3 linked regions of the Bombyx mori genome follow. Each later gene encodes a partner of the first gene's protein in a complex. Links are inferred from orthologs where the notes say so. Each region holds a gene or a part of one and is shown on either strand. Other genes may lie near its edges. The genes, in order: mitochondrial import inner membrane translocase subunit Tim21, small integral membrane protein 20 and mitochondrial import inner membrane translocase subunit TIM50-C.

Region 1 (3,393 bases):
ACCACTTTCGCTATTCGGTATCTCGGTTATGGGAAAAAGGTTGTAAGGCTACAACGAGCTCAATTTACGTTGTATATCAGAATAACGTGGTATTTTAATTAACAATTGATAGGTTATAGTTTCCGGTGCATCGTACAATACATTGAAAAATAATAAAAGTAGTAGAGTAATTGAAATTATGACAAAGTAATTACAGTACATTAATAAATTATGCAACCAGCTGTAACAATAAACCTAAAACTAAAAACCTTACAAAATAATAATTACAATAATAATTGCCATAATCGGCAATCTATTTTTATATAGCGCTTTTAAAAAATTGTATTTTTAATACCTTTTTTGAAAAATATTGTGTAATTAATAATAACTTAATACGTGATTCGCTACAATACAAACAGCTACTAGACTTAACATGTCCGCGGAACTAAACAGCTTCAAACAGCTACTAGACTTAATATGTCCGCGGAACTAAACAGCTACAAACTACAAACAGCTACTAGACTTAACATGTTCGTGGAACTAAACAGTTCCGCGAACATGTTTACTGGAACTAGTTCCGACACTCAAAAGAACGATGTCATGTTCAATCCAGTTCCGAACATGATTAGCGCACGTCTACAACGGACTAAGACAAAAAACTTAATTGCAATGTTCAAGTTCAAACCAGTGATCTAAAATGATTTTAATCATAGATTATACACTTCTCTGATTGAAATAAAAACAGATTTTGACATTTACAGCGGTTTTTTTTAAGGAATTTTTGGACCTGGTAACTAAGATCTTTAAGTCATGTCTTATTATTATTAAAATTCTTATTTTATGAAAAATGATAATATGGAGTGAAATGAAATGAAATGAAGATTAATTTGAAACATTAATCAACTGGGATTAAATTAAATGAAATGAGATGATATGGGATGATATATAATCTCAGTAAAATGGTGGTCATTTACTGTGACTTTTTCAATGGACTTTTTGGAAGATTCCCACATTTATGCACTTTCACAGATACTAAACAGCTATTAAGTACACATTGAAACCTGAAGAAACACTAAATAGACAAAATAAAACAAATCACACAACTTCACTCTTCGCGTTCCCGCCAAAAAGTCTATTAATATTATAAATTAGTTACCTACTACATATAGAGTGGCTAATCGAAGAGTTTTCTCTATGTTATTGGATATATCCATTTATAAATAGAGAATGGTTTTACTTTTTTAAATTGATGCTTCTTCAGATTTTAACGAGCAACATTAGTGGCTTATAGGCTTTGTAGTATCGGTGAAAAAGCACAAATATAGAAAAATTAAATCGATTTGCTTAACATAGCTTTTTCCGAAAAGTCCAATGACGTTTCTACCGTTCAGTAAAATACTGAGTATTTTATTTTATCTCATCTGAACTCCTTTAAATTCTATTTCATTTCTTTTAAAATTTTTACTTAAGTAGTGTAATATTTTATATTTTTTATTGTTTTTAACATTTTCTTTTTCGTGTAATAAAAGTGGCTGTTTCGCTAAGTTTCATTTGCCTGACTAATTAACAAATAAGATAGTTTGATTGATAGCAATGATAGCTACGTAAACTTCAAAATTAAGTAAATAACTAAGGTTATTTTTATCAACTTTATAGGAAATTTTTGACGATGAAATAACAATAAGGAGGTTGAGTTTTTTTTAACCATTCTGTTAAATAGCACACTTAAAAGTGAACGATGACTTTAATATCTAAATTTTTACCGCTTTTACGGAACGGTAGCACCACTGAAAAGATTCCTGCCATATTACAAACTAAATTTAGAACTAATACCCGTTACTTCTCTTCTGAAAAAGAAAGTGGTTTGACTAAATCCAAAAGCAAAGAAAGTGCTTCCCATGTATCTACAGATGTAAGACCCTTAGGAGAAAAAATCAAAGAAACTACAAAAACTGTTTCTTACACCGGCGTAATACTTCTCGGTGTCGGAGTCACAGGTGTGATTTTCTTTTACGTTTTTCGAGAACTGTTCTCAAGTAACAGTCCGAACAGCATTTACTCAGAAGCTCTTGAGAAGTGCAAACAGGTAAATTACCTTGTGTGAAAGAAATCTTGTTTACATTATGATAAATTTACAGATTATTTAATAAACAAGGTCAAATTTTTCTATATCATTAATCATTAGCATTGCATAATGCAGAATGCAGTACAGTAGTCAGTATTAAAGTAAGTAATGAACAGGGGAAACAAACACTATTTAAAGTATTGTTTACCAAGTATTTATTAAATTATTGTCGATTGCAGGATCCTAGAGTAGAAGATGCTCTTGGTGCACCAATAAAAGGTTATGGAGAAGAAACAACTAGGAGAAGACGTACCCATGTCAGTCATGCAGTATATGAAAAAGATGGAGTGAAACATATGAGAATGAGATTCTATATTAAAGGGATAAGAAATAAAGGTGTTGTTGAACTTGATATGAAACAAGTAAGTTCTGTTTAAATAGAAATGTGTTTAACAACTTAAAAGTTCAAATAACACCATACATCTGAATAATTTGTATACACCTCATCAATTTCTTATAATCTCTGTTTAAAATTTTCTATTTTAATAAATTCATTTAAAATCTTTCCAATTCACCAGTACACTTGTTTTTTCAGAATGATTATGGAAACTATATGTGCAGATATTTGCTGGTACAACTTGATGACTACAGTGGAAAAACATTTATAATTGAGGACAACCGAGCTGAATTAGATAATACCAAACCTGATATCGCATTTCCAACCTTAACTCTCACTCAGTGATATAAAATTAACTATGTAACATGTAAATAGTAAAGTAGATATCGAATAAATGATTAGCAAAATAAAATTGTTTCGTTTCATATTATTATGTAAAGTTTTAGTTTAAAAAATAATAAATATAGTGAGCACTTTCATATTGAAATCTTTTAAATATATAGAATACTATACCTTCTTCTGACACCATAAGAATAGTTTTGGAATATGAATCTTATTAATTAAATTCTTTGAGCCAATGAAACTTAATGCTTATAATATCATTTTATTGCAAACATTAAAACATGTTTATCCTTATTAATAATTAAAGTGAATTTTACAGTGAAGACTAGAAATTGGCACAAATCAATTATTTCGCAGTACAATTTTATAGATCTTACATAAGTTCGTCATTCAAATGTTTTCCAAGATTGTACTTTCCATGACATGAGAAGTCGATTGGTAAATATAAATTCCTTAACTTTATTGAAGAACCAATGGAATATCACTACAAAAGAGAGATATTGAGGCCAAGCCCACTTAAACTCTTCTAGTATACTAGGAGTGTATCTTATTTGCATCTCTGGAATTCTTAGATGAACTTGAACAGTCATAGAATCTGTCTGGCCATTGT
Region 2 (2,967 bases), on another chromosome or scaffold:
TTGCGTATTAAGCATTTTAATGTATTAATGTTGCTTAAATTAAATATCCTTTCACCACTCGACATGGTTTCAAAAGGTACAACTAGAATGTAAGTAACGATGCATCCATAGACCAAATTAATATGAGGCAGCTTGCTTATATTTCCACAATATTTACTTACGGCGATATTGAACTATTCGTGTACGATATTCGCTTACAGTATAGTTTATGGAAAAAATCACATGTAAATATCTCGACGGATATGACAAAATTAAATATTTTTATATAAAAGTGCTCCACTGTTTTATAAGGCTTTAAAGTATTTGAAATTCGGCGAATATATCGCGCTATTTGCAATTTCGAAATTAAATATCTATACACTGTGTTATGTTTTATTACTTTTCTAAATATACACCAAATCGGATGATTAACATCTAGATAGATTCTTCCTCAATCTAGACAGATAGATGAGATCCATTGTACAATACAATTAAGATCTATGGGATCTAGATATCATCTGCCGAAGAAGCAGAATCTACAACATACTACAAGAATCGAAAGTACAAAAATAATAATGAAAAATCTTAAAAGATATATTAACTCAATTTTATTGTTTGAAAGCTTTTTATTTACAATACTAATTAATAAAGTCAATCTGACAACTACCTAAGGTGAATTTGTATCAATCATGCTCCGGTTTCTTTCGTTCGAATGGATCGGACCATACTTTCATATCTGTAAAGACAGAGTACATTTTCAATGTTTTTCATCTTCTGTTTTCTTTTTTAGATTGGATGAGCTCACAGCCCACCTGGTGTTAATTGGTTACCGGAGCCAATAGACATCTACAACATAAACGCTGCTACCCACCTCTGTCAACCATGTCAAATATAACTAACTATACCACTAAGTTTATCATTCACAACTTTGCAGTTACTGGTTTAGTTGTTTATATATGTGATTGGAGCTCACATGCACAATATATGCTTAAAAATCACTATAAGCTTATTCTTTTTTATAAAGTTAGTTACCACTTTAATTACTATACAATTGAGATAAACAACTAAGTCCCACAGTTAATTACAACGTCCATGTGTTATCTGAGGGTTCCGGTAAGCACTCACCACCAGTTGGGTCGTGAGCTCATTCATCCATCTATACAATAAATACAAAGTTTCTAATTATATTTCAACTCTATTACTAAAGTTTCCATGGCAATAGCTTTTAAACTTACTTCCAGGTTGGATGTCTTCTTGTCGTATGTTTTTTCTAGCTTCTTTTTGAATCTGTTCTGAAATTAAATTGAACAACAGCCAAGTTAAGAAACAAAGTAGTGAAAAATGAAGAAATCGTAATACCAGTAATTTATTATCTTACTGTATTCAGAGACATCGATCATCGGACTTATTGCTATCGGATAAAGAGTTAATCCTAATAAACCAATAAAACCGCCGATAAAAGCTGTGTAACGCCAACCACGAAATATAGCCATTTCAAAATTTTATTTTCATGAAATGTGTACAGACATTCAGAATTATGAGTTTTATCGATTTTGATAATTTGTATTTCGACTATAACCATATAACAAATAATATCCTGAACTTATATTATTGATAACCAGCTGATTTTCAAATGACATTTTTTTTTTTTATTATTGTCCACTAAGAGTAGTAAAAGAAATATTTCTCATACAGCCTAAGCTAAATTTTTTGGAGTGGGAGATAAATAATGTTACCTAAACCAAAAATTATTTTATTAGAATTATGTAAAATATTACAAATTTACTGGAACTTCAATTGATTTTTCTAAAGAACTGGGAAAGTATCCGCAACAATTCCACAACTTTCGGGTGATCAGTCCGATTGCCCGTGTCATTGATATTGATATGAGTTTCTGTATCATCCTCCACGTCGCTTATTTTTTTCTTTTGCGCTCTAGTAATTACTGTTAACAATACTGAGTTAATACATTTTAATTCGTCCGAGTTTGTTGGTAACCTAGACAATGCATCCGATACGCAGTTATCTTTTCCTTTAATTTAAGTGATATTAAAATTGTATTGTTCTAATGTTAATCTATGTTTTAGCAATCTACTTGACGGATTTTTATTCCAAACAAATATATTACATAACGGTTTATGGTCAGTTATAATTGTGATTTTTTTACCAAAAAGATATGGCCTAAAGTACTTTATTCCCCACAATTGTATGCATTTCGACAAATACCAAACAACCATTAAGAAAATACTAGTTTACTGAAATAAGGTCTAAAACGCCTCGCTATTTTCCTTACAGTAGTCTAAGACATACCTAGACTTCTTTATCGTACGCATTAACTTCAATTTAGTGTAGGAAAGAGATCAAAATATATTTAGGGTGTAATAATACATATAACAAAATGTCCGCTGTGAACGTATCAAATACCACGCTACAATAACACGCTCTGATCAATAAATAGTACCTCAGGATGTCGCAAATTTACCAGAGACCAGTCCAGATACATCCTATTTCCTATGAATAGCTGTGTTTAAGAGGCTTGTATAGTCCAGTCATTAAAAGGGGTTGATCTCGGAAAATCGACCTACCCAGTATATTACCACATGAAAACCTGTATTTTGGCATCCTAAAACTATTCTACAAATTCACATATAATTGGATAGCCGCAAGTTTTAAAATCAGGGATCAAGGGTACAAAGTCGATTTTTTTCACATTTTTTGCAAATATATCGTTTTCTATGGGTTTTACGCTGTTTGTATTTATTGTTAATATTGTAGAGAATTAAATTCTCCACAACTTTTCTATTTGACATTTTTTTAAACTCTGTAATCAGAATATGAACATTAGAATTATTTTGTAATATTGTAATGGTAGCACCTAAGTTCAAAGTTGCTAATTTTAAGTTTGGCGCTTGGCAACTCTCTCTTCCGTTTCAGCCATATAGGCCTGTGCATGGCAAGTTTTTATTTTATTAATTTAAATTACATTAA
Region 3 (4,312 bases), on another chromosome or scaffold:
GTAAAATGGTAGTCATTTACTGACATTTTTGTTGTGAAACATCTATAGCCGCACGTAAAACCGATTGCTGGCGTGGCGACGCATGCCGTAGCGACGCGTCGCCACGCTATATGATGATATATATATAGTGTCTATATGCAGTAGTGTGTATGGTGTGGCGACACGTCGCCATGCGCAATCGACTGTGCGATTCTCTCCCACTCGATCCGGCGTTAAGCCATCTCTCTCGCTACACTGAGCTCGGATACCTATAGTGTATACTCTGTAGTGTATACAGTGTCATTTTTTGTTTACTACAGTACACATAACCTGTGTTTTACTTGAAAACAAATTATTTTTTCGTAACATTTTATTTTATCATTATGACATATTTAGTTCCTGTCACAATCTGTTCTTTTCTGCATATTACTTTTACAACATAATGTCGAAGTTTCACATCTGCCAGGCGTCCCGTGACGGCTCACATTTTTTTTTTCAGTGGACTTTTTGGAGGATCTCGAGAAGCTACGTCCAGCGGCTTTGTTTCATTTTCCCACATTTCTGCACTTTCACAGATATTAAACACTTAATAAGCCACCGTTATTACACATTTAAACCTCAAGAAACACTAAATAGACAAAATAAAACAAATCACACAACTTCACTCCTCGCGTTCCCGCCAAAAAGTCTCTTAGAGTAATGTTTTTTTTTTAAGGGATTTTATGACCTGGTAACTAAGACTTTTAGGCCAAGTCTTATTTTAATTTTAATGATACGTAACTTTTTTATATGAAAATGATATTTTGAAATGAAATGAAGTTGAAACAGCATGAAGTGAAATGAAAACGAAATGAAATGACATGAGATGAAGTATAATCTCAGCAAAATGGTGGTCATTTACTGAGATTTTTTCAGTGGAATTTTTGGGAGGATCCCGAGAAGTTACGTCCAGCGGCTTCGTTTCATTTTCCCACATTTGTGCACTTTTACAGATATAAAATAGTTAATAAACCAACGTTATTACACATTTAAACCTGAAGAAACACTAAATAAACAAAATAAAACAAATCACACAACTTCACTCCTCGCGTACCCGCCAAAAAGTCCTTGAGTAATGTTTTTTTAAGGGATTTGATGACCTGGTAACTGAGATCTTTAAGTCATGTCTTATTTTAATGTATATTCATATTTTTATGAAAAATGATATCATAGTGTGAAATGAAATGAAGATGATTAATTTGAGATATTAATCAACTGGGATGAAATAAATGAGATGATATGAGATGAAATATAATCTCAGTAAAATGGTGGTCATTTACTAAGATTTTTTCAGTGGACTTTTTGGAGGATCCCGAGAAGTTACGTCCAGCGGCTTTGTTTCATTTTCCCACATTTGTGCACTTTCACAGATATTAAACAGTTAATAAACCACCATTATTACACATTTAAACCCGAAGAAACACTAAATAGACAAAATAAAACAAATCACACAACTTCACTCCTCGTGTTCCCGCCAAAAAGTCTCCTTGAGTAGTGTGATGTGATCTGCTGCATAGATTATACACTAATCTACTGTTTAGTTTTATTTGCTCGGTTGTGTGTTAGTGAAGTTTCTCAATGCGGATTTTTTTATTACATTGAAATGTATTTCAGGAAATTATTATTTCTGACAAAAACCGCGTGTTGTAAATCTTTAAAGCTAGAGACAAAATGCCACTCAAGACAAAACATTTGGATAATAGCAGCGAATTCGCCAAAATTTTATTCAAATCAAAATTTAGGTTAGTTTTCATTTCCCATAGTTCATAAATTCAGTACGACTTTTTATTACATTGATTTTTTCATGTATTTACAATAAACAAATATGTTGGATGAACAATTTTACGTCATTATTAAATTGAACCCACTAACATCATAGCTTTGTTGACAATACTACACAAGTCAAATCAGTGTAGAAAATGTTTTTTTAGCTATTTACAAAAGCATTACATGTTTGTCAAAATCCGTTTTATATTTATTCAGCTTCTGTCACCTATAAAACAAATAGAATTCTACATTGCCTTATAATATGTACTTTGAAAATAAATAAGTAATAATATAACTTTGATAAATAAAATGCTTTCTTATTGTTAATACAAATTTACAGATGATAGAAGTAAAGATGATAAACCTGAAAAAGTAGATATCTTAGGGAGGTTCTTCCCGCAAGCCCCACAGACACAGGTTGATGCACAGCAGATTAAAAAAGAACAAGAACGTTTTGAGCAAGAAAACAAAGAGAAAACTGAAGAAAATGAAAAAAGTTGGAGAAGAATGAAATTAGGGTAATGTAGTTAACACCAAATTCTTCACAAGCTCCTAAACTTATTTGAACCACTTGAATAAGATGCAGTTTATCTCTTATTTTATTATTTCTTAATTTTCAACCAGCTCTTCAGATATATAACGAAAAATGAAGGGTGTTTTATATTTATGTGGTGTATTATTAGGCGTTATTTATTAACATTTCACTAATACATACAAACATACCTACCGTCTAACTATTTATAAAAATATTTAATGTTTTTTAGGACAAAGAAATTAGAATAGTATAGAAAGGTATCTTGAGATCTGATATTTTACTGACTTTAATTTTCATCTTCACAATAAGAGGAGCTAGATATGCATCAACTATGGCTTCTCGATATAGTCTATAGGTACTAAACATAGTCTCAATGAAAGTTATTTCAATGCCATTGACTGATTATTTTTGCACTTGCAACATGCTCTTTGACTCAGAAATGTACCTCTTAGTCTGTCCTGTGTATGTATGTAAGTATCAATAACAGTACATATAGAGGGGGGAAATGTTATTAGATTTAAGCAACATTTTTGTAACTTTACAGGAGAGCCATGTAAAGCTTAAAACTTGGAAAAAATATGAATAAATATCTTCAGCTATTTGAATAGAGTAAACTGAATTAAAGTTCTATTAAAAACATTGAACTGTTAATACTAATACCAAATAAAATGTACCTTTAATTACAAAGATAAAGGTCGCGTATTAAGCATAATGTCGCTTAGACCAAATAACCTTTTACCCCTCTGTATATATTTCCTATACATAAATAAAAACAAAGCTTCCAATCAACTTTGGAATTTAAAGTGAAACAGAATAAAATAAAAATAATGTTAAATGTTTAGTTTTGCAGTTTTTGGTGGTGGTCTCACAGTAGCAGCGACCTGCCTTGTCATAGAGATGGGCTCACCCCGACGGGATGATGAGGGTCAAATAATAGAGGATGAATTTTCACATCTTCCCATTGTCTTTCAATACCTGAGACGTTCCTGGAAAGAACTCACATTTTATGAAAAGGTAATAAAAATAATTTTATTTATGCATTATTGATATATGCATTTAATTTGAGCACTTAATTTGAAACAATTGGTAGTCAAATATTAAAATGATGATAGTTAAAATAACACCAGAACATTATAAAATTCTTTTGCACTAAAAACGTTTTTAGTGCAAAAATATTTGCCTAATATCCTATCACAGATCATATTATGCAGTTTTAATTGGAATTCAAAGAGGCCACTATTGGCCTATGGTTGAGGTTTAGATTTTATATTGTTACATTCTAAGGAATATGGGATTGGAGATATTGTAAAACTCATAGAAACAGAATATTTTGTTATTATAGATGATAAAGGAGCCATCAAGAGAGAAATTACTTCCAGACCCTTTGCCTCCACCGTACCAGCCTACATACACTCTAGTCTTAGAATTCACAGATGTCCTGGTGCATCCTGATTGGTCTTACCAAACGGGCTGGAGGTCAGTACTATCCCTGCCATGAACATGGCATGGACAACAACAATACTTTAAGAATTAATTAAAGGGGGTCTTAATTTATTTAAAATGATTCTTTAATCATTAATTTTGGTAAAGAATACATTATTCATTGCTTTTGGTGTTGGCCTAGAGCAGCACCTCACTCTCTGTTCTCGTGGGTGTCAAAAGAAGTGAAGATTCCAAGGAGAATGGACGGCAACGTTCTCTGAGTACTACTGCGCCGCACTGAGCCAACTGACCGACATTTGCCACCACGGCTACGACTGTGCTGCCTATTCTTACAGCGAAGCAATCACGCGGTCCGGTTTGAGGACAGACAATTGAGATGTTGACCTCGTATTTTGTGGTCGATGATGGCCTTTTTTTGGCAGCAGTATTGTTGATGATCCAATCACACAAATAGGTTACTTTATGATCCACGGAGGTTGAGTTTAAAGTGCATCTTATGGTGAATGGTCACCAAATTATATGATCTATGATTAATTCGTAGTTAATTTT

What was found.
Region 2: mitochondrial import inner membrane translocase subunit Tim21 (region 1) and small integral membrane protein 20 share a complex: the UniProt entries of both Homo sapiens proteins name them as parts of the MITRAC (mitochondrial translation regulation assembly intermediate of cytochrome c oxidase complex) complex. The link is inferred for Bombyx mori from reciprocal best matches to the Homo sapiens genes TIMM21 and SMIM20.
Region 3: mitochondrial import inner membrane translocase subunit Tim21 (region 1) and mitochondrial import inner membrane translocase subunit TIM50-C share a complex: the UniProt entries of both Homo sapiens proteins name them as parts of the TIM23 complex. The link is inferred for Bombyx mori from reciprocal best matches to the Homo sapiens genes TIMM21 and TIMM50.

Annotation. Positions count from the first base shown.
Region 1 is NC_085110.1:12,601,739-12,605,131, reverse strand, and holds mitochondrial import inner membrane translocase subunit Tim21, read left to right. Parts: upstream 1-1,285; 5' UTR 1,286-1,717; coding exon 1,718-2,065; intron 2,066-2,283; coding exon 2,284-2,466; intron 2,467-2,639; coding exon 2,640-2,786; 3' UTR 2,787-2,853; downstream 2,854-3,393. Other genes in the region: transmembrane protein 231, read right to left, coding at 3,170-3,393. UniProt on the Homo sapiens protein: Participates in the translocation of transit peptide-containing proteins across the mitochondrial inner membrane.
Region 2 is NC_085120.1:2,850,717-2,853,683, forward strand, and holds small integral membrane protein 20, read right to left. Parts: upstream 1,654-2,967; 5' UTR 1,473-1,653; coding exon 1,358-1,472; intron 1,272-1,357; coding exon 1,215-1,271; intron 716-1,214; coding exon 663-715; 3' UTR 571-662; downstream 1-570.
Region 3 is NC_085127.1:1,725,228-1,729,539, forward strand, and holds the start of mitochondrial import inner membrane translocase subunit TIM50-C, read left to right. Parts: upstream 1-1,481; 5' UTR 1,482-1,621; coding exon 1,622-1,760; intron 1,761-2,125; coding exon 2,126-2,303; intron 2,304-3,162; coding exon 3,163-3,334; intron 3,335-3,662; coding exon 3,663-3,796; intron 3,797-4,312. UniProt on the Homo sapiens protein: Essential component of the TIM23 complex, a complex that mediates the translocation of transit peptide-containing proteins across the mitochondrial inner membrane. Has some phosphatase activity in vitro; however such activity may not be relevant in vivo.